Linked DNA regions of Caenorhabditis elegans. The protein of the gene in region 3 purifies or fractionates together with the protein of the main gene of each other region. This does not show direct contact. Each region holds a gene or a part of one and is shown on either strand. Other genes may lie near its edges.

Region 1 (6,834 bases), on a different chromosome or scaffold from region 3:
AAACTAAAATATTTAGTTTACCTACCAAGTCGCTCTTTGATTTTGAAATATTTAGTTTACCGCAGAGAAAATTATTCTACATACATCTATTTTTGCATCACTTGCGTTTAAGTCTACAAATGGAATTTGAAATTTGTAAAATCCTTGAGGAAATATGGCACTTTCAAGGAAAATGAAAATCGGAACGTTTTAATTTTTCAAAAAAAAATCCAATTGAGCAGAATATATAATTATTGAAAATATTGATAATCCAGTTCTTGATCTCTAGCAGCTGCATAAGACCTTCTTTTATCAGTTTCCTCGTAGCTTCTTCGGAGTTCCCATTGAGTTCCAGAATCTATTGTTGAACTGCTAATTGTTTGAATTTGTGAGTCTTTCTTTGTTGGCTTCTTTTCTGGTTCAATATTTGAAGATTTCTTTTTTCTTCCAACGAATATCCAAGAAACACAACAACAGCAACATACAAGTAAGAGAAGAACAAGAAGAATTACTCCGATTATTCTGAAAAAAGTTTAGTTTTCAAGATGTTCCTGTTTAAGATGTTCCAAATTAAGAAATCCAAAATTTCATCCCCTTATAGGGATGTTCTGAGAGATGTCTCATTCTACTACAGATGCTCAAATGAAAACTTAAATTTCTTCTGTGGATTTATATGACTTAGATGTGGATCTAGTTAGAGCTACTTTACAAAAAGCTTACATGGGTTCTTGTCTAAATCTCCAACAACAGTTTTCCAAGAACTCTCCACAACATTCATAATATGTGAAGAAAGAAGCAGTTGGACACCTCCTAAACGAGAAAAACGGAATTATTTGCCAATTATAATATTCTCCAACTTACATTGGAGCAGGTCGTGGTGAGTTAAAATACCACGGTCGGCGGCAAATGACGTCATTGTATGATTGAGATTTAACTGAAACAATTCTTTGACAAGGTATTTTAATAAAATTCATCATATTTTCCAATAAACTTGAAGCTAGGTGAGAAATATGGCTTGTAGCACCGAGATCGTGTCGAGACCCACTCAGAAATCCAGCGTGCGCCTTTCAAAATTAAATGGAAATCTCTAAAAAATGTTTATAGGTGAATTTCATCATACTATAGCGCCTTTTGAACTTTGAACTTTTAAAATTGTCGAAACTCACCATTTGAGATCAGAGTTAGATTTAAAATCAAAACGAATAATTTAAAGAGAAAGTGCATACTTATCGATAAAGCAGTATAACACAACTTTTCTGTCGACAAAGCTTGGAAGTTGTAGTGTCCAGAAAGCAAACATACACATATTCTCGCATAAGTTTCCTCGGCCTGTTGCGCACGTCTGACTCATATTTATTCATTCTAAACATCGCCCGAATTTCTGAAATTCTAAGAAGTACAGTAACCCGAATGGTCTCAAGGTAACCTATCTCCCCTTGAAATTAATTCAAGTTTGAATGAGAATTTTGCATGTTTCAAATTTTTCGTGACTCTCAATAACTACTGATTCTTGAAGTCTACATTACAGGCTATTAAATTAGAAATCGTAGGCCCGATTTTTATCAAAGTACCGTACCGTGTGAGTTTCAAGGGAGGCACGTTTTTGGGAAATGGTCTTGCGACGACATGGCAAGAATTGTTATTTTTTAAAGCGCCTTTTTCTGTTTTTGATTTTTCCCAATAAGTTTTTTATTTTATTCATAAAATATATCTTTTACATCTGAAAAAGCAAGTTTCTGAATGACAATGAATTTCTGTCGAAATTCAAATTCACAGCCGCACAGTTTTCGCGCCTAATTTGTCTGCGTCTCTTTACCGCGCACACTGTTTCGTCTACAACACTCCAGTGTTTCGGTACGCAGGTTGCCGCCAAAATTGAGTTTTGAATTTTAGGTGTCTTATTTCTCGTCGTTTTCCCGCATTCTCATTGTTTTCCTCTTCAGATTGCACCGACTTCCTGAATTTCTAGTTCTCTTTCTTACTTTTTCGATTAAGAAAGTTGCCTTAATTCTTTTTAAATCAATTCTTTCAGCATGGACAACATTATCGGCGGTCAAGCCCAGCAAGTGGAGGACACCGACGGAACTCGTGTGCAGAACGAGTTTTCCAAGTTTTTGAAGAGCTTCAAAGACCAGAAAAATGAGTTTATCTACAAATCTGCGATGAAGGAGCTCGTGCAACCAGAAAAGAATACCATTTTCATTAACATGCAACATCTCTACAAGTTCAGTAACAATCTCGCAACAACTATCGAGCTGCAATACTACAGGTAAATTAAATTCGATTAGTATTTTCGAATACTTATAAATATACTTCAGGGTCTATCCATTCATGTGCGAAGCTCTACACTTGGCCACTTTAGATGCTTGTGATGAAAGTGAGAGACAGCAAATGTTCAAGAAGCAATTGTACGTTTCGCTGTTCAATCTCGATGCGAAAACGAAAGTTCGTGAGCTTTCTGCGGACAAAGTCGGAGGCCTCGTGCGCATTGCCGGTCAGATTGTCCGAACTCACCCAGTGCATCCAGAACTTTCACGGGCTTGTTTCGTGTGTGAGGATTGCGGTGTTACCACACGTGATGTTCAACAGCAGTTCAGATACACTCAGGTATGCGGAGATAATAATTAGCTTATAACGAATTCAAATGTTTTCAGCCAACTAAATGTGCTAATCCTCAATGCATGAATCGTACCAGATTCAGTCTCGATGTCAACTCATCTACTTTCGTCGACTTCCAGAAGATTAGAATTCAGGAGACTCAAGCAGAGTTGCCTCGTGGATCAATTCCACGTACTGTCGATGTGATTGTTCGAGGAGAAATGGTTGAAACTGTCCAACCAGGAGATAAATGTGACATTGTTGGAACTCTTATCGTCATTCCAGATATTGCTCAATTGAGCACTCCTGGACTTCGTGCTGAGACTTCAAATCAGAACAGAGGTAAACAATTTTATTCGAAACTCATTTCTTAGTGGAAGTAGTTGTCGCAGATACCTTGATTGTCTTCTTTTTCGCTGGTTTCATACAGAAAACTCTTTCTCGAACAAAATCCATATAGATTTTTCTGGTAACAGGGGTAAAAATGAAGTATACTAGAAATACATGGCATGGCACCTGAGCTAGTCGAAAATAAGTGAATGCGAGCTTTCCGTCAAGCGAAAGATTTCCAAAGAGTTCCTGAAAACTTGCATAGTAAACGCTATTTCGTTGAATTTATACCGGAACAACTCGTAGAACAAGACTTGTTAGCTCATATACAGAAAGATAGAAAGCAGTGATAAAAGCTTGAATCATAAGCATTCGTTCAGTCTTCTTTTTCGCTTTTAAAACATCCGAAGGCATTGATGTAAACTGATCTCCATTCCCACGTCGGAACATATTTTTGATCTTTGTATATGTTGGTGATCTTTGAAGTTTGAAGTTTATAATAACTAGCACATTGAAAAAGAATGCTACGAACGGAAAGAATACAGAGTAATAATTGGAGAACGTTGTGATCTACAAATTAAATTATTAATTTTTGTAACACAGATATCATCCGTAGATCTACTTTACCTGATGCCTGTCTGGTGCACATTCAGATATGAATCCAACTTTTCGTATATCATAATTTATCCGACACTCACTCAGATAGGGAATAATAAGACATGCGAAATTGGCAGTCTGAAGAATAAATGTATCATTTGAAATCTTAGCATTTCAAGATACCATATGAAATGAAGTATAGAGCCATATTTTGCTAGAAGTGAAAAGCTGAGATGCCTGCATACTCACAACTACTGCTATTCGATTAATAGTCATCAGAATAAGTGTGAGCATTGGATGAAGATAATTGAACGTTACACCCACCGAAATCATAGCTCCTATTGAATCCCGATATGCTGAAAATATAGATTAGAAAATATATCCTTCCTCATGTGTCCGGACAGTTATTACTTTTATATGTTTTATCGGACATGTAATAGGGGAGTATGTAGACCATTATTCCGAATATGACTAGAAGTGCGTTAGAAATTGCCATGTTATAGATGTATGTGGCTGGTAGAGCATCTGAAATGAGATTTTTAAAAAAATAAAATCCCGAATTTTTCGTAACTGTTTTTAGAAGTTTTTATTGCCAGTGATAAAGTAATACAGTAGAATAAATTGAACACCGAACATGTCTCGTAAACCCATAGAGCAATACGCTTAACAACGGCAGCATCCACATCCATTTGTAGAAAAAAGAAACACACCAGCAGGTTGAATAATGTAGGAACCAATGGTTGGGTAGTATTCTTTTGGAAGATGTGATTATATGGACTCCTCGTTTCTCGATAATGTGGTGATTTTGATTTTATTAGCATCTAGTATTCGAACAATTATGGTCACGTGGAACGAGGAAGTAGAATTGATTTTCAGTGACTAGTGATTCCTATGGTTTCATAAATTTAAATATATATTTTAAGAAAAAAAACTAGCGAGACTCAACAATAATCTGATTTTTTACAGGCAGAGCGACCGATAAAAGCGAAGGAATCACTGGATTGAAAGCTCTTGGAGTCCGTGATCTTACCTATAAAATGGCATTCTTGGCTTGTCATATTCAACAAACCGAGAGTCTTGTTGGTGGAGATGCTTCGGGAGCTGTTGAGGAGACTGATTATCTTGATTTATGGTCGAAAATGTCAACAGAAGATCGTGCAACACTGAAGAAAATGAGTGACGATAAGAAAATCGAGAAGAACATTGTCGATTCACTTTTCCCGAACATTTATGGAAACCACGAAGTTAAGCTTGGAGTTCTTCTGATGCTTCTTGGAGGTGTCGCGAAGAAGAGCAGGGACGAAGGAACTTCACTGAGAGGTGATATCAACGTTTGTCTTGTTGGAGATCCATCAACTGCCAAGTCGCAAGTTCTGAAAGCTGTGGAAGAGTTCAGTCCAAGAGCTATTTACACTTCTGGAAAAGCATCTTCAGCTGCTGGTCTGACTGCTGCTGTTGTAAAAGACGAGGAATCGTTCGAGTTTGTCATTGAAGCTGGAGCTCTCATGCTTGCCGACAATGGAGTTTGTTGTATTGATGAGTTCGACAAAATGGACCTCAAGGATCAGGTTGCCATTCACGAGGCAATGGAACAACAAACCATTTCCATCACCAAAGCTGGAGTCAAAGCAACATTGAATGCCCGTGCATCAATTCTTGCCGCTGCAAATCCAGTTAATGGACGTTATGATAGAAGTCGTCCGTTGAAGTATAATGTCCAGATGTCAGCTCCGATTATGTCACGTTTCGATCTTTTCTTTGTGTTGGTCGATGAGTGCAATGAAGTTACTGATTACGCTATTGCCCGTCGGATCCTTGATAATCATCGTGCGATCAGTGAGCATACTGAACGTGACAGTGTTTACAAAATTGATGATATCAAGAAGTATATCGCGTTTGCTCGTTGCTTCAAGCCGAAGATTTCGGATAAAGCTGCTGAAACTCTTGTTCGAGAGTACAAGAAACTTCGTATGTCTGACAGCAACAATGCAGCCACGTCATCATGGAGAATCACTGTTCGTCAATTGGAGTCTCTCGTTCGTCTGTCTGAGGCTCTTGCTCGTCTTCACTGTGGAAAGGAAGTACTGGTGGAACATGTCGAAAAGGCTGCCGAACTTCTCAACAAGTCTATCGTCAGAGTTGAGCAACCAGACATTGCTTTGGATGATGACGACTTTGACAACAATATCATGGTTGTTGAAGCAGACAAAGAGAATCAAAGAGGAGATGATAGTATGGATCATGATGGAGAGAAGGAAAATGCTCCGAAGATTGATATAGCAAAGCTCAAAATCTCATTCAAGGAATACAAGCAATTGTCTGATGTTCTCGTTTTACATATGCGATCCGATGAAGACAATCAAGGAGAAGACGAGTATGATGGTGTCAAGCAGAGTGCACTTGTTGAATGGTTTGTTTAAATATTCAAATATTTAAATTTAAATTTCTGGTTTTTAGGTACTTGTCGACAATCGAAGCAGATTTGGAGACGGAGGAAGACTTCAACGTACAAAAGACTATTTGCGAGCGTGTAATTCATCGTCTCATTCACCAGGATCACGTTCTTCTTGAAGTTGAGCAAGGAGAAGATCCAACTCTCTGTGTTCATCCGAACTATGTTATTGCCGACGAATAATTGAAATAATTGCTTCCCGTGTGTATTGATCTCTTATCCAGGCTCTTTTACCGTTTATCATTATTTTTATCATCATCATCAACTCACTAATTTGCAATTAACTTGAGTATGACTATCACCGGAACTTTTGTGAATGAATTTTCATCAATATTTCCAAACTATTGCTATGTGTTCAAAGTGAAAAATGTATGGGCTGCGGCCTAGTTTCATTGACGGCCATGTACTTCTCGTGGACAACTTTCGCAAACCGAATCTTTTAGTTATCCAGATGTAAAATATTGGGATTTCTGTGCCAAAAACACGGTACCTAGTCTCGAAACGATAAATGTTTGTTAAATGAAAACGGATGTGCGCCTTTAAAGAGTACTGTAATTTACAGATTCATATTTTTTTGTTTTTTTTCTCCCGTTTTTCGATAATTCATGTTTTTAATGTTATTCTTGAGCTTGCTAATGAATAATCTTATTTTTATTTTAAAAAAACGATGAAAATCCCTTTAATTTAAAATTACAGTATTCTATAATGGTGCACATCATTTTTTCCTCAAACCTTTTTCGTGCGGAGACCGGCTACCGTATTTTTAGCTCAGAAATCAAATAATAAATATTTCAGCGTAATGTCTGAATCAGACGGAGCCTTCAAATCACCAAGTTTACCTCCATCTCATCATGCTCCGGCTCCAATGTCGCCTGAAA
Region 2 (6,396 bases), on a different chromosome or scaffold from region 3:
CCAAATCTTCCAAAACCGAGCAACCTAAGGAACAATCAAAGCCGGCTCCTCCAAAGCAGCAAACGCCAAAGAAAGCTGAAGATCGTATAGTGAAGCAAGACACTCCGAAATCTGTGGAAAAGGAGGTAGCGAAAACACCGCAGAAACCACAGCTTGCCCAACAGCCCCCACAGCAGAGAGCCCCAGTTCCTGAGCCTGTTCAAGAACAGCCAAAGGTTCAGAAAACGTGGGCTAATCTTGTGGGTGGAGGTGGAAAGTCTCAGCCCCCACAACAACAAAGTTATGGACAAGGACAGCGTGAGTTGAAAAAACGAAAGATGATCGGGCTAGTCTCAGATTATTTATTTTTCAGAAATCCATCAGCAAACACAAATGCACCACATGCAGCCTTCCATGCATCAGCAACAACAAGGATCGCATGCTCCTCTTTATCAGCAACAGAGACAGTCGCACCCAGCTAATGAATTGCGCCAAGCTCAGGAAAGTTCAGATGCCAACCTAAATGAGCGTAAGATCTATTTGGGAGGAATCACTCGAGAGATTGTCCCCAGCAACACAGCTCAGGCTGAATCGGAAATCAAGCAGGTGTTCTACAGTAAGCAAATTAATAGTCCCAATAGTTCACTAAATTTTCATTTTAAGAATATGGAGAAATCGAGGAGGTTCGCATGCCGCGCAAGGTTCTTGACAGTCCGAACGACACATCGAAACATGCCTTTGCATTTATTACCATGCGTAACAAGGCCGGAGTAAAAGCCATTTTCGAAGCGGCTACAAAGGATGAGCAAGGCGTGTGGAAGCTTCCACTCAAACTGGATGCATTCGGATTTGACGGACATGCTCAAATTAGTGAGCAACGTGATCAACCACAAGGCGGCGGATTCCGAGGAGGACGTGGAGGTTTCCAACCACGCGGTGGACAATTCTTCCGCCGTGGCGGTTCGGGTGGTGCTCCACGAGGTGGTATGCGCAGCGGTTTCCAAAATGCGGGACAAAATTAGAAGCTTTCCGTTCTCCTTTTTCCTTCTTGTAAGAATTGCACATCCATTAGATTCTGTACCTATCCTTCTCATTTTCCTATTTATTGTTTCTCCTTTCCTTCCTCACCGTTCTAATAATGATGATTTAAGTAAGAAGATTCTGGTATCTGAATTTTATGGCGTGTAGCGTTTTAGTAGATCTCTCAACAATCCAATCCAATCAGCCCGCATCCCATTTTCACATCCTATCTCCCCGGTTTTCGGTGATTGACGACCGTGATCCCATCTGAGTTTACTCTTTTCGAGTACAAGTTGCAATCAGACATCATCCCACCACCGAATATCCAAGTTGTATTTGAATGTTGTTTTAATATATTACCACTTTCCTTCTCCTTTTACAAGCCCCCGTTATTGTTTCCTTCATTGGTGTTCGGGAGTACTCTTTGTACTCAAGTTCTTACCCCCATTTTGGCACGTTGGAATTAAAATAAAGTTTTGTATCTAAATTATTCAAGTTTCTCAATTTGTTTTTTTTATATGTAGTGTGTCAAGTAACAGTGTATTGTACTTATTGTTGTGAGATTGTGTTTCTAACATTTCTAATGGATACAGCAAGACATGGATGATGACTACAATGTACTGCATTCTGGGTTTGCCGACGATGATGGGCAACTTGAATATCCGTAAGATCTTTATGTTGAGAAGCAGAAGTAGTTTTACATTCGCTGAATTTTAAGAGATGATGAGGATCAGCTAGCTGTAGTTCCGAATGGAGACTCTGAAAATCAAAGAATCAATGAAGTTAGGAATGCTCTCGAAGAAGTTGGATATGGTAAAAGAAAAAGACGCTTGAATGAAGTAGAAGACGTATTTGATCAATATGGAAGACGTTCACATCCAATGGGTCAGTCAAAAAGAAGGTTTTCCAATTAAATTATATATTTAGATTGGCATATGAGAATGGAAACAGTTTCCAGTGAAGTATTACAAAAGTCACAAGTAAATGCTGTTAAGAGAAGAGCCCTCGAAAGCTTGGAACAGAAAATCAACGAAGCAGCTGCTCAAGCTGAAAGAAAAATGAATGAAAATCATCATTCTAATGCTTTTGACGATTTTCAAAGCGGAGAGCAGACAATTTCTTCACTTTGTGAGCTAGAAATGGAACGGAGATATAGAAGACGACAGGTTATTACTTTTCCTTGAAAGATTATATTTTTATCATTGAATTCAGGAAATCATGCGAAATCCGGTAACTGATGGTTCACCTTGGATTGGTATCAGTGATGTCGTCAACGGGCAACGATTTTATATTCGAACTTTCCGTGATGATCGTCTTTCTGTTCCGTTAGTAGAATCGATTACCCAACAAGCAACCCGTTCGAGGGTCGGTTTTCGAGCTTTTCAGTCGATTTGTCAGGAATCCGAACGTCTTAGGTAATAGTTTCACTAGAAAATTGAATACTTTTATAGTTTTCAGCAAGTTGAAAGAAGAATCTCGCGTTAAAGAACAGGAAGCCGAGTTTTCACGCATGCTTAAAGAAACTGAAACACCGTCTGAATATGAAAATAATAAATCTCATCCAGAATCATCATTATGGGTGAACAAGTACGAAGCCAAAAATTTCTCAGATTTGCTCTCGGACAGTGTAAGGAATTACATTATTTTAAAAAAAGAAGTCACGATATTGCAGACTGTCAATCGAAATATTCTTACATGGCTGAAAATGTGGGACGAGTGTGTGTTCCATCAAAAAGTCGACGATTTACTAGCAAGCCTCGGTGAAAAAGAACGAGAAGTACTACACATGGATAATGGCAAAATTCGGCGTCCATCATCGAAAATGTTGCTTCTTTCTGGCCCGGCTGGTCTCGGTAAAAGTACACTAGCACGAATTGTCGCTCGTCAAGCAGGCTATTCAACAATTGATGTAAATGCAAGTGATGCTCGAACAGTCGCAGATTTAAATAAAGTACTAGAAGGAGCTGTAAAAACATCTCGAACACTTGATGCAGATCAACGGCCAGCATGCCTGATTCTTGATGAAATTGATGGAACACCAATTGATACTATTCGTCATTTGGTTCGGTGTATTCAAGCAACAGGCAAAAAAGCCATTCGGCGACCCATTATTGGAATTTGCAATAATTTGTAAGTTATTTTATGGCTTCAGTGACACAGAAAGAAAATATATAATAGGATATCGGGAACAGTTGCAAAAACATTTTCAACCAAAAACCAATTTTCTCCAAAAAACCGAAAAAAAAAACACTTTTGATTTTTCCATCATACCTACATTTTTGAAAGATAATCTTTTGTTTTTTAGTCCAAAAATCCATTTTTGCAAGAAACACCAACTAAAAACGACAGTCCTAATCGGGAACAAAGATGTCAGCGAAAATTTTGACGATTTTTTTCACTGAAAATCTAAAAATCGAAAAACGACAATTTTTCGAAGAAAAAAAATCAGTGAACCATAAAATTATTTTTTTTTTTTGAAATCAAATTCTGTTTTTGTTGATAAAAACACAAGAAAACATGAATAAAAATAAAATAGAATAAAAATGATCAAACTTTCAAGATATTTTTCGAAAAATCGAAAGAAATCAAAAACTAAAATTCTTGGTTTCAGATTTTGGTAAAAATCGGAACACAAACCCCCTTTATCGGGATAACTCAATGTATTCGTAAGATGTGTTTGATTTTCTAATTATTTGTTTTTAAAGGTATACGCCAGCATTGCGTGATTTACGAGGAGTCGCCTGGTGTGTGCAACTAGTCGCAACAAAACAAGATGTTTTAGCAAAACGACTGGAAGAAATTTGTGACCGAGAACGTCTTCGATGTGATTTGAGTACTTTGAGAAAGTTATGCGAATTGTGTGCAAATGATATGAGACATTCAATTAATACTCTTCAATGGGTAGCGGTGGCAGCACGAAAATCGAATCGAGCAATTGGAATGAAGTTGATCCATGAGGTATGACGCTGTATATTTTTTGATATTAATAGAAATCTGTTTTTTAGGTTATTGAGAAAGAGAAAGGCGGATCTGCTTCTATTTTCGAACATTGGTCGTCAATTCTTGAGTTATCTAAACATACAGACGCAAAGGGAGGAATCAAATCTGTACGAGAAAGAATATTTGATATCGAACGAATATCGGCAGACCATGGAGGAGAAGAACGATTTGTGTCTGGTTTACATGCAAATTATCTTGTAACTCTTCCAATTGGAGTAATACGCAAAGCGTCTACATGGTTTTTGTTCTATGATGATATTCAGAAAATCGTGAGTTTTAATTACTATTAGTATTAAACAACTATTATAAATTCTTGTTTTCAGGTACACAGTCTTCAAAACTGGTCGGTTCTAAAGTATGTTTTTTCATTCTTCGTTTCCCTCCATCTCAACATTGCGACTCATGCTCGTGTTCCGATCGCCTATCCACAGTTGGAACAAAATATTTTCCAAAAAACGAAGGAATCGGAAGAAACAATCAGCGCAGTTCGATCATGTGGACAATCGACTAGAGGTGCACCAAAAAAAGAGCTTTTGCTGGATATTTTGCCATTCATTGTCAATATTGTTCAGCCACCTATCAAACCGGTAACAATCGCTGGTTGTTCTCTTTTTTTTTAATTTTTAAATTTTCAGATGAATGAGTCATTGTATAATCAACGGGAACTTGCGACTTTCAATCAAACTGTCTCGATTATGTGTGATTATGGTTTGACATACACTGCCACAATGGTAAAAGATCAAGTTAATTGGTTATTTACTCCTTCAATTGATATTTTGACAATGTTTCCACTGGATGGACCAAAGCGGCCGTATCTTGCCAATGCGACAAGACAAATGATTGCTCATAAGGTTTGTATTTATTGTTTTAAATTAATTTTCTTTCATTGCCTGAAAGTTTTGAATTCACACTTTGTGCTTTCTTAAAATAAGGAGTAGAGTTTGTAGGTTTTCTCATCAAATAGATTAAAACCGGCCCGAGACACTCGATTTTGAAAATGAGATTTCTCAAAAAAAATTTCAACATTTTTGTGGCGTTCTGCATTTTCGAAAATTGTCGCAACAACTGGAATACAGTTTTTAAATCAAATTTTCACCCTTTAATAAAAACTGTATTTCAGCTGCTACGACAAGCTTGGGAAAATCTCAGATTTTAACAAATTCGAAATTCGAAATTCTGAAACACCATAAAATTGTTTGGGAAGTCTCAGTCTATTTGAGCAAAAAAAAAGCTCCGTGTTCTGCCCAGGCCATGGCAAATTTTATTTTCAGAATTTAATTTAATTCTTAAAAATTTTCAGATCACTCTTATGCGTGTTCGTCTGACAGAGAGTACCTCGAATACTGAACGAATTTCTACGAATGCCGATAAAATCAAAGCAATCGTTGAATCAGAAAGCAAAAAGAAGAAGAGACTATCTGCCGGAGCAATGAAAAGATTACACAATGGAAGACTAACAGATATAGTATTTAATCATCAGGATGGAGACAGTAGTGCTGTCAAAAAGAAAGTCACCATGCAACAACTCAACTCTATACTTTTTGGTGATTCTTAACCTTAATTTCAAAGTATTTGTTTGTAAAATGACACTATTTTTGCTGTATACTACTTTTTTCAGTTGTTTCAGCGCTGTATACACGTTCCTATGATCTTTTGCTCATTTTCCGATTTTATCACCCCAATGAACAATACATTCCTTTTAAGTTCAGACTAAAACATTGTTAATTTTCTGCAGAAAATAATGCGGGGTTCGAAATTGATATGAACAAAAACATGATCTCTTAATAGTTCATAGAATTCACATTTCAAAATTAAGAATGCTATAATAGCATTTCAGCTTCATCGAAAATGTCACTTGTTTTCATGGCAACTCAATTGAAATATGCAATTAAATATCTTCACCGATTCCTACTTCCACAAACTTTATTCTCAAACAAAAATATTTTGAGAATGTTTTTTCATATATTTATGTGGCTCTTTTATTTATCGGAAGTTGATTCAGACAATTGTTCATTTAATGTTCATTATATCACAAAAGAGAGCTTATTTCCAACTGAATGCTCTCAAATTATTGGAAGATTTCGTATCGATCAAAATTCTGAAATGAAAAGTGAACAATTGATCACTTTATTCAAAAATGTTCTTCAAATTCGAGGAGTTCTACAAATATGGAATACTCAATTAACTTCAGCGCCTTTCATGAAAAATATTCAGAATATAACTGGAGATCCATTGGGTAATATATTCAGAGAACACTATTATGGGGATGAAGACATAATCTTCTTCTGAAATCGTCGTGGAAATGCGCTCCATAGATAATTGAAATCGCCCCGCCCCTACAGTTCGGTCTCGTTGGGTGTAAGAACGAAAATTCAAACATTTTCAATTAGTTTTACC
Region 3 (3,574 bases):
TTTTGAAAATAAAAAAATATTTTTTAATTCTCTAGTTAAACCTGGAAAAGCTTGAAGAACGGCTGATGGGGAAGATGAAGCATCTCCGGATTCTGTGGATTTTTTGTTGATGGACTCAACGAGTCGCTTGGCTTGTGTCGACTTGCCGGACCGATCGAGCCCTGTTAAAATATTAAAATATTGATATTTCTTTAAAATTAAGCTAAATCAAATACCTTCGAATACAATCAGGAGCCCTCGTTTCTGATCAGTAGCCATAGGTGAAGAGATGAGGCTCTGGAAATAAGACAGCATGGAGAAATATAAAATAAAATAGAAACATGAAGACGCGCTTCTATAGAATCGGAACTTTAGATCTACAGATTCAAATCTAAAGATAAAGCCGACAGCGAAAAAATCCAGAAAATCGCATCGGCTATCTAACCTTCTTCTTAATATTTCTATTCAACCGATCCATACACTATTTATTCTCTCATAGAAAAAAGACACAAACGGACAAAATCGATAGGGGACTAAATTAACAGAAGACGTCTCGAGAATGAGATGAATTGGGGGAAAAAAGAATACGAAAAAATCGGATGGCTGTTTCGTCCTCCCCCAGCGACAGAGTTTGTATGTGGAGCTTTGAAGAGTAGACGAAATCGGATGGTGTCTACCAATGGTACATCGTCTTCTGGAAATCGACGTAACGGTGAGACTTGACGAGCCAATTGAGGAACGAGTAGGCGAAGATGAAGCGGAAGATTACCTTGACCTAAAAATAAAAAAAATTAGTATTTTTTTTTTAAATTTAAACGAACAGTGTTATTGTAGACTGGTCCTGAGTAATAGAGGTTGTGGACTCTCCAGATATTGCGCATGAACTCGTTGTAGAAGGCAGATGGGGTCTTCTCACGACGAGCCATCCAGGCTGGAAGATCTCCTAGCTTCACATCCATGAACTTGGTATCAAGCTTTCCGTAGTATCTCCAGTGGCAGTATGGTCCGTGAACGTTCTTGTTCCATCTCTTGTCGAACAATCCAACCTCGGTCTTGTTCAACACGCTAAAAATTATATCGGTTATTTTTGGAAAAGAATTTTATTCGTCGTTTTCAGACAATGACAAACCGGTTGTAGAAGAACACTCCGACACGCTCAACGGCGCGAGAGATCGGGATAAAGATCGCGTCCGGAACCCATGGTCTGAGTTGAGTGTGTGGTGGTGGAGGACGGAACCAGGCCATAACTGAAAATTCGAAGAATTAAAAAAATAAAAATAAACCAGATATTTAATTAAATAGTGAGAATCGAGTAACGATTAAGCCAAATAATCAATAAACAAGAAATTAATTAGAAAAACAACCAAAACAGGCATTTTGTTCAATTTAGCAAATATACACATGAATATCAGGAAGAATATACATTTAAAAAAGAACGTTCCAGCTCCAATAATCCTTAACTATGTGCTAAATATTGTTTTAAATATAAACATGTATTTTTGTAAACATTGATCATTATCGACCATGGGATTACGTTTCAGTAACGCCTAAAACGAATTTAACTCAGAATTTAGTGATATATTTGATTTTAGAAGAAATTAATTGAGTAAATAATGAAAAATCGTCAATATTCCACTTTTAAAAAATGCTTAAGAAAAATGTGTGCAGTTTTCAACGGGCGGCGATACATTTCGGCTAATCGCTGCGAGACCCATGGCCGTGGCCGAGTCTACAACTAGTTCACAAGAGCCGAAATGGTGGGAAAGTCGAGGACTTTAAATTTAATGTTTTTTATTTTCGAATTTAATATTTAAAATCAAGTATTTCCCTTTAAAATTTTATTTTTCAAATCAACTTTTAATTTTTGCAGTTCAAAAAATGAGTTCCGGCGATCAGAATCGAGGAGGCGTCGCCGACAAAGCACTACAACTTGTTTTAGAGATGAAAAGAAATCCAGATGTATTACCGCCTTATAACGTAAAATTATATCCTATTTTCTGCTTTAAATTTGAGTTCTTTTCAGACAGAACTTGTACGCCAATGTTATCAGAAAATCGATGAGTTGTTTCAAAAGAATGCTGCCGTCGTGTAAGTGATACATTTCGGAAGCGTACCGATTCGTTCGTGACTTCTTGATTTAAAATCATATTTTTCAGTGAAAAAATCCGTGCAGGACTCCCTCATGATTCTACGCTTCTTCAACCTCGTTTAGCTGCAATGTGCCATATTCGAGTAAGTCGAGAAGGTCGATTTTTGAAATATTGTAGTGGTTCAATTTTCCAGCGTTGCATGATGGCCTATGTGAACGAGAGGAAAAACAGGATTCGATCATTCAGATGGAAGTATGGAGGTGCTCTTCCCGCGTCTGTTAGGGTAATCGGTGCACATGATTAAAATTTGTCAACCATTATTTTTCAGAACGCCCTCTGCGATGCGGAAATTCAGTTTTTCAATGAGTATTCGAGCACATTGGCAAGATTCCAAAGCAATCTTGGAGAAGGTGGTGTTAATCTGCTGCTTCATTCTGCACCACCGAAGTCACTTTTTGTACAAGTTAGAGCTCTCGAGGATTATGGAGAATTTGAAACGTCAGATGGAACTCAAGTTCAGCTGTCCAAGGATAGTTTGGTAAGTCTTCGAATTTTTCTTTATTTGAAAAAAGAGAAATCCCGTTTTTAATTTTTTAAATAATGTATAACATTTTTCAGCACTCCCTTCCACGCCAAGACTGCGAAATGCTGATACGTCAGGGTGTTCTCGAGCTTGTTCATTGACTTGTTGTCGGTATTTTGTTTTCAACCTGTGATCTGTATAAATAGCTTCTTGTCAGTTTATTTTACAAAAAAAGTAGCCTCGTTTAATTAATTAAGAAAACACATAAGTTAAAAAATTATTTCGACTTCTCCGAGAATTTCTCGACGGCAGCACGAACTTCCTTGATATCGGCAGCATCTCCCCACTCCTTCTCCAAATGAGTGAACACGATGTCGTTGTTAGCAATCAAATAAACACCTGAACAATTATTATGAAAAAATAATTTTAATAATTTTTCGTACCTCCCAAAAGTCTTCCCTCTCCTTCCATGTTTCCCTCGACCTTGGCTTTCTTTGCTTTGTAAACATTCGAGTAAGTTCCGAAACGAAGAAATCCCATCCAAACTGGCAGCCAGCGTTCGTTTGGACCGTAGAAAGTGCGATCAGTGTCCAAATAGACATCACCGCCGGAGAACCAAGACTTGAACTCATTTGCTCCACGAGTCTCGTGCACAACGGCGGCCTGAAAGCAAAGTTTTAATTTTTCTATTTTGAAGGAGCGCTTACCAGTTCGATTCCTTTTTCCTTGAGCAACGGGAGCAGTGTGTGCAATTCAGCAGCTTCACGACGGCACAGCATACATCCCGGACGACGTACAGCCATCACCATGATCGGACCTTTCTTGAACAACGAGTCGGCCTGAAACTTCTCAAATAATTTTAATTTTAGAGTGAAAATGTTTACCGTAAACTGCTCATTTCTCTCCACAACTTCTTTTTCCTTCGGTCCACCACGAATTGGGACAAGTTTTGCGGCCGCCAAATGAGCAAAGGTTGGAGCAA
Region 4 (5,105 bases), on a different chromosome or scaffold from region 3:
CGATTTTAGCGGAAATTTTGACGTTTTCAACCCAAAAAAACCATAAAAATTCGACAAAAATGAAATTTCGAAGCTACAGTACTCTGTTTAAAGGCGCACACCTCTCCGCATTTAACAAAAAAGTCGCGTCGAGACCCAAGGTACTGTAGTTTTGGCCCAAAAAAATGACAAAATTTCAGTAGAAAATTCTTTAAAAAAATGTTTTTTTCCAGATACATGTACTCGGTGATCACCAACTGCTTCCTGAATATTCGCTCGAAAATGTACGATCAACTGCAATATTTCCAGAATGAAATTCCATATTAAAAATTTGCCAAAACCAAAAAATTAATTTATTTATTTCTCCATTTTTTCCCCACCCGCTGCCAGTTTTTTCTTCTTGTGTTGCTATAATTTTATTTATTTATTTCTAATTTATTTGAATCCCCCGCTCCCAATGTATAATAGTGATTTTAGGTTTTCGGTGTATAGTTTTAGAAAAATTCGCTTTAAAAAATCGATATTTGCTCATTTTTCGAATTTTCAGCAAAAAAAATCACCCGGAGATCTTAAATTTCATGAAAATGCTTATTTTGCAAAAAAAAAACCAGTTTTAATTCAAAATGCAATCGCGCTCCATCGCCAAAATTTGCGTCTCGTTAGTTTTTGGCGGTAAAGCCGAAAATTTCAACAATTTTCGCCGATTTAAACCGTTTTTTCGTAATTTTTATCCGTTTTTCATGAATTTTGTATTAAAGGTGATAATTGCATGAAACAATTATTTCCATAATTTCGGCATCGAAATCGTTGAAAAACAACGAAAAATGCTCGATTTTAATGATTTTTAGCTCAATTTAACCTTAAAATTCTGAAAAAAACGACTAAAAATGCTCGAAAACGGGAAAAATCAACGGAAATAAATGAAAATTTTCGAATTTACACGGTTTTCCCGCGCCGACTAGCCAAGCTTTGGCGCTGGAGCGCGATTGCACATTCATTTCAACCAAAAAATTTCGAGAAAAATCCAAATTTATTACTTTCTCTTTACGATATTATAGACAAATTGATTGGATCCTGCAACCATTCGCTTTTCCACATAATATGGATCATTCGAGTATCCAATGTCGTGAGTAGGTGTGCAAAAATCATCATTATCAGCAGTTTCTCCATCTGAAAATCGATAATTTTACCTTTTGCCGCAATACGCCTGCCAGGAGCCTACCAGAAGAACTTGACGAGTCCCAAGTGGCAGAAGTATCGTCGTCTTCGCCGAGCTCCGGGTCCCAGTCATCTAGTTCTTTCACATCAGAGTCATCGTTGATTAGTTTCCCAATTTTCGCACCCATCTTGTGCTCGAAGTTAAGGAATTAAGGAATAACGAGAATTCTGATTTTCTAACTTTCTAAATTCAAATTTAGAACTTCACGTTCCACAAATTAATTGAATATTTTGCTTCAACGGATTCCCCGATGAAGCGATTCCAAAAATTATTTTTTATTCGACACACTCTCTCGAGAGATCGAAACGACAGCTAACCTTGGTTAAACTGGGTTAAAACCAAATTGACACGATTTCGTTGGCGACCACTAATCTGCTGTGGACGGACATTTGCCGGGTTCCGCCGGGTGCTGTGTTTTGTGGGGGGAGACACTCCGCCCATTTGTACGTAGTGTGGTTGCACAGCGCGCGAAAAAACAAATTTTGAAGCGAAAATTAGTTTAAAACGCATTTTTTATAGATTTCCGAGAGATTTAATCGATTTTTTCGACTTTAAACCGAAAAATTGGCTAATTTAATCTTGGAAATGCCGCAAATTTTCTCTATTTTCGAAATATTTCCAGCTAAATTTAAAAATTTCCAGGTTCTTCAATGAATGTGCTCGTCCAGGGAGCAGTCCATGCTCTCGGATACTACGAAGATGGAAAATATAGCCGAGAACCGGATTGTTATGGTGAATAAGCGGAATTTTCGATTTAAAATCGATTAAAATAGCAATTTTTGCCAATTATGCTCATTTTCTGCAATTTTGAATGTTTTTTTTTTCAGAAAGCATCCGAGATTTAATTCGATATCTACGCGAAGACGGTGACGATCACACTGCTCGAATCGAATGCGGGCGGCACAATCTTGTCGAGCAGGATTTGGTTCCGATGGTGAAGTGTGAAGATTTGACGGATGATGAATTCGATATTGCTATTAGGTAAAGCTGGGTCTCGCCGCGATCTCACTATTTTTTTTATTTTTTTTTAATTTCAGATTAATGGTGAACCTGTGCCAACCTGCAATATCAACGATGCGCGGCAAGCCTCCCGCCGATCGAGATCAATGGAAAATGTACTGGGAACTCGAGGAGAACCTCCGTCGCGCCAAAACCGCCTTCTCCGACGCCCACTTCTTCACTGCCATCAAAAAACGAATCGATAATTATTTCATCGATACAGAGTACGAGGATCGCGACGAGAGGCTTCGGCTTGTGGTGGAACGTATCGTTTTGCTGATTAAATACGTGTTTTCCATCAATCCGGATACATCAGAAGGCCGAAGAACTCGCATCGAGGATAGCAGTCATGATCGTGTGATTATTGCGTTTTTAGAGTCGGGAATCGATAAAACTCTGATGCATATCGCGAATCAGCCGAGAGAAAAAGAGTTCCACGTCACGATTCTCGACATTTTCGCGTTGATCCTGAAAGAGCAGACAGCTGAGGATCTGGCCACCAAGTCTGAAGAAGTTTCGACAGCTGAACAGAAGAAGACCGAGGAGGAATTTCGAAAAATCATCGAAAACCACGTTGTCAAAGAGACTCAGAAGAGAAAGTCGTTCTCGAGATTCGGTGGATCCTACACAATCAAAGGTCTTAAGGGAATCTCGGCGAATTCTAGTCAAGTAGTGTTCAAACCGATTCAAAACGTGGAAAAGCACAATTTTCTGGATGATCGGAAGGCGAAAAAGCGGGCTCCGAGGAATAGAAGACCGTTTGAAATCGACACAAATTCGCATTTCGCGTCGTCTGAAGTTCGTGGGATGCTGAGAGATATGGTGATCCGAATCATTGAGACTTGCTTCAACAGGCTTATGAAAAGCTCGAAAACGACGGTCTTCGTGCAAGTTCAAAAGACATCCCAAATCAACTACTTCTTCCTGATCAAGTTCGTCCTCCGATTCGTCAGGCTATCGCGTCAGGATCATCTCCTCGAAAGGATCTCAGAGTGCATCGGAGTTGAAGCATTCCACGAGAATAACGTCCAACTCACGGAATACGTGGAGAATGCGACTACGCTGAAGGGAGTCGAAGCTAAGAGTCATGGGCTGAAGGCTCAGTATGCTCTCGGAGCTTACAATGAGCTTGTGCTCCTTCACCGTTATATCTACGAGCATGCCAAGGAGGAGAATGAACGGAAATTCGCGAAACGAGCGCTGGAGCATATTGTGAACGTTGAGGAGTACAGAGAGCTGCCGATTTTCATCATTAAGAAATTCTCGAGCTCCGTGCTCTCTAACAACTTTCTCCGAGAGCTTGTGCTCACCACACATCACTACATGAAGCTTGTCGAGAGATTTGTGAAGACAGGAGCATTGAAGAAAGTCACGAAGAAGGTGAAGGTGCGGAAGGCTACGAAGAAGAGCAAGATGTCCGAGGAGGATGTCCGCTCGGAGTTTGATGGAATGAGCAAGAAGGATCTCGATCGGCTCTGGGAGGAATCCAAGGGCCTTGTACTTCAAATTCTGAAGAAAGAAGTGCCGGAGATGAGGGGAATGAACCCGATCGACTCGCAGCTTGATGTTCCCGTAGATGCTCAGCAGAAGTTTGCCAAGCTTTCGATTCAAAGATCGTTGAGATCCAGAGGATTTCCAGCAGCGGTTGGGCTGTACCATGCTTCGAGGGCCTTGTGGCCTGAGAGTTTTAAAAGAGGACTAACGGTTCGGACGATTTTGAACTTATAGACCCAAAATGAGCTCAAATGAACGAATTCTTATAATGAAACTGCTCAAAAAAAATTTAAAAATTTTTTTATGGCCGTTTAAATTATGAAAAAAATACACAGATTTTAGCTAAAATCACGAATTTTTTCCATTTTTCCCTGTCAAATCCGTCCGAAGTTGGCTTTTTTGGAATTATCGTCTTTTATTACATATATTGGTAGTTTATCTCGTTTAATTTCGTCGATTAAAGTACATTTAAAGCCGATATGGAACCAAAAATCATCGAAATTGGTTACCTATCGGCTTTAAATGTACTTTAATCGACGAATTTAAATGAGATAAACTACCAATATATGTAATAAAGGACGATAATTCCAAAAAAAGCCAACTTCGGACGGATTTGACAGGGAAAAATGGAAAAAATTCGTGATTTTAGTTAAAATCGGTGTAATTTTTCATAATTTTGAACCGCCATAAATAATTTTTGAAGAAATCCGTTAAAATTGAGCAAATCGCCACTGAAATCGACGAAAGCGGATGAAAGCGGATTAATTTTAAATTCGCGCGTGAATGAATCCTAGGCCACCACACGATTTCTAGGCCATATTCGTTCAACAACACATTGATTTAAATGTTATTTTTCAAACTTTAATTCGTTTTTCTTTCTCAAAAAGTTTGAAAAAACTGGGAAGAAGAAATTGTATAAAATTCTTATATTAAAAATACAATACAGAACAGAAAAAATATTCGAAAAATCCTCATGGCCTAGGATTTCTTTAGTTAAATTTCGAAGATTTTTCGCCGATTTTTCTGGCTTAAAATGTTCAATGTTAACGGATTTTTCCCGTTTTTCTTTTGTTATATTCGTAAGGATGAGCACGAATACTACATTTTAAAACAATTTCCCCATTCAGGATACTCCTTCTTCAAATGAACGAATTTCGTAATGACCCTGCTCAAAAAATTTTCAAAATTTTTTTATGGCGGTTCAAAATTTTGAAAAAAATTACACTGATTTTAGCTAAAATCGCGCGAATTTTTCCCATTTTTCCGTGTCACATCTGTCAGAAGTTGACTTTTTTTGGAATTATCGTCCTTTATTACATACAGTGTCGGCCAAAAGTATATGCGTTTTGTGTTTTTCAGTGATTTTTCAAAATTTTCAAACAAGTTTAACTCTAAAACTAGAAATTTAGGTATA

What was found.
Region 1: the proteins of psf-1 (region 3) and mcm-6 purify together in Caenorhabditis elegans (affinity purification with mass spectrometry, with the first as the bait; one study listed by BioGRID). This does not show direct contact.
Region 2: the proteins of psf-1 (region 3) and ctf-18 purify together in Caenorhabditis elegans (affinity purification with mass spectrometry, with the first as the bait; one study listed by BioGRID). This does not show direct contact.
Region 4: the proteins of psf-1 (region 3) and tim-1 purify together in Caenorhabditis elegans (affinity purification with mass spectrometry, with the first as the bait; one study listed by BioGRID). This does not show direct contact.

Annotation. Positions count from the first base shown.
Region 1 is NC_003281.10:9,792,356-9,799,189, forward strand, and holds mcm-6 (DNA replication licensing factor mcm-6), read left to right. Parts: upstream 1-2,011; 5' UTR 2,012-2,012; coding exon 2,013-2,248; intron 2,249-2,297; coding exon 2,298-2,586; intron 2,587-2,633; coding exon 2,634-2,919; exon of another isoform or gene 2,920-2,940; coding exon of another isoform or gene 2,941-3,156; intron 3,157-3,198; coding exon of another isoform or gene 3,199-3,477; intron 3,478-3,534; coding exon of another isoform or gene 3,535-3,642; intron 3,643-3,687; coding exon of another isoform or gene 3,688-3,860; intron 3,861-3,915; coding exon of another isoform or gene 3,916-4,029; intron 4,030-4,075; coding exon of another isoform or gene 4,076-4,193; intron 4,194-4,468; exon of another isoform or gene 4,469-4,470; coding exon 4,471-5,914; intron 5,915-5,961; coding exon 5,962-6,139; 3' UTR 6,140-6,288; downstream 6,289-6,834. Other genes in the region: R10E11.9 (uncharacterized protein), read right to left, coding at 231-501, 700-789, 841-913, 1,146-1,203; srxa-10 (Serpentine receptor class XA 10), read right to left, coding at 2,941-3,156, 3,199-3,477, 3,535-3,642, 3,688-3,860, 3,916-4,029, 4,076-4,193; ZK632.2 (uncharacterized protein), read left to right, coding at 6,756-6,834.
Region 2 is NC_003282.8:10,121,841-10,128,236, reverse strand, and holds ctf-18 (AAA+ ATPase domain-containing protein), read left to right. Parts: upstream 1-1,592; 5' UTR 1,593-1,598; coding exon 1,599-1,663; intron 1,664-1,717; coding exon 1,718-1,884; intron 1,885-1,926; coding exon 1,927-2,165; intron 2,166-2,211; coding exon 2,212-2,414; intron 2,415-2,457; coding exon 2,458-2,626; intron 2,627-2,671; coding exon 2,672-3,129; intron 3,130-3,704; coding exon 3,705-3,957; intron 3,958-4,004; coding exon 4,005-4,268; intron 4,269-4,322; coding exon 4,323-4,586; intron 4,587-4,634; coding exon 4,635-4,850; intron 4,851-5,299; coding exon 5,300-5,554; 3' UTR 5,555-5,700; downstream 5,701-6,396. Other genes in the region: Ras GTPase-activating protein-binding protein gtbp-1, read left to right, coding at 1-297, 353-595, 643-1,001; irld-21 (Receptor L-domain domain-containing protein), read left to right, coding at 5,950-6,235.
Region 3 is NC_003280.10:9,966,824-9,970,397, forward strand, and holds psf-1 (putative DNA replication complex GINS protein PSF1), read left to right. Parts: upstream 1-1,849; 5' UTR 1,850-1,857; coding exon 1,858-1,956; intron 1,957-2,002; coding exon 2,003-2,067; intron 2,068-2,135; coding exon 2,136-2,211; intron 2,212-2,262; coding exon 2,263-2,352; intron 2,353-2,397; coding exon 2,398-2,607; intron 2,608-2,687; coding exon 2,688-2,753; 3' UTR 2,754-2,807; downstream 2,808-3,574. Other genes in the region: dtmk-1 (Thymidylate kinase), read right to left, coding at 42-161, 216-258; R53.4 (Putative ATP synthase subunit f, mitochondrial), read right to left, coding at 653-754, 801-1,044, 1,109-1,224; R53.5 (Peroxiredoxin-like 2A), read right to left, coding at 2,870-2,991, 3,036-3,255, 3,300-3,431, 3,477-3,574.
Region 4 is NC_003281.10:12,246,898-12,252,002, reverse strand, and holds the start of tim-1 (Protein timeless homolog), read left to right. Parts: upstream 1-1,838; 5' UTR 1,839-1,848; coding exon 1,849-1,930; intron 1,931-2,025; coding exon 2,026-2,179; intron 2,180-2,235; coding exon 2,236-3,901; intron 3,902-5,105. Other genes in the region: pifk-1A (1-phosphatidylinositol 4-kinase), read left to right, coding at 213-306; Y75B8A.23 (Protein kinase domain-containing protein), read right to left, coding at 1,013-1,149, 1,202-1,325. UniProt on the Caenorhabditis elegans protein: Plays an important role in chromosome cohesion during both mitosis and meiosis.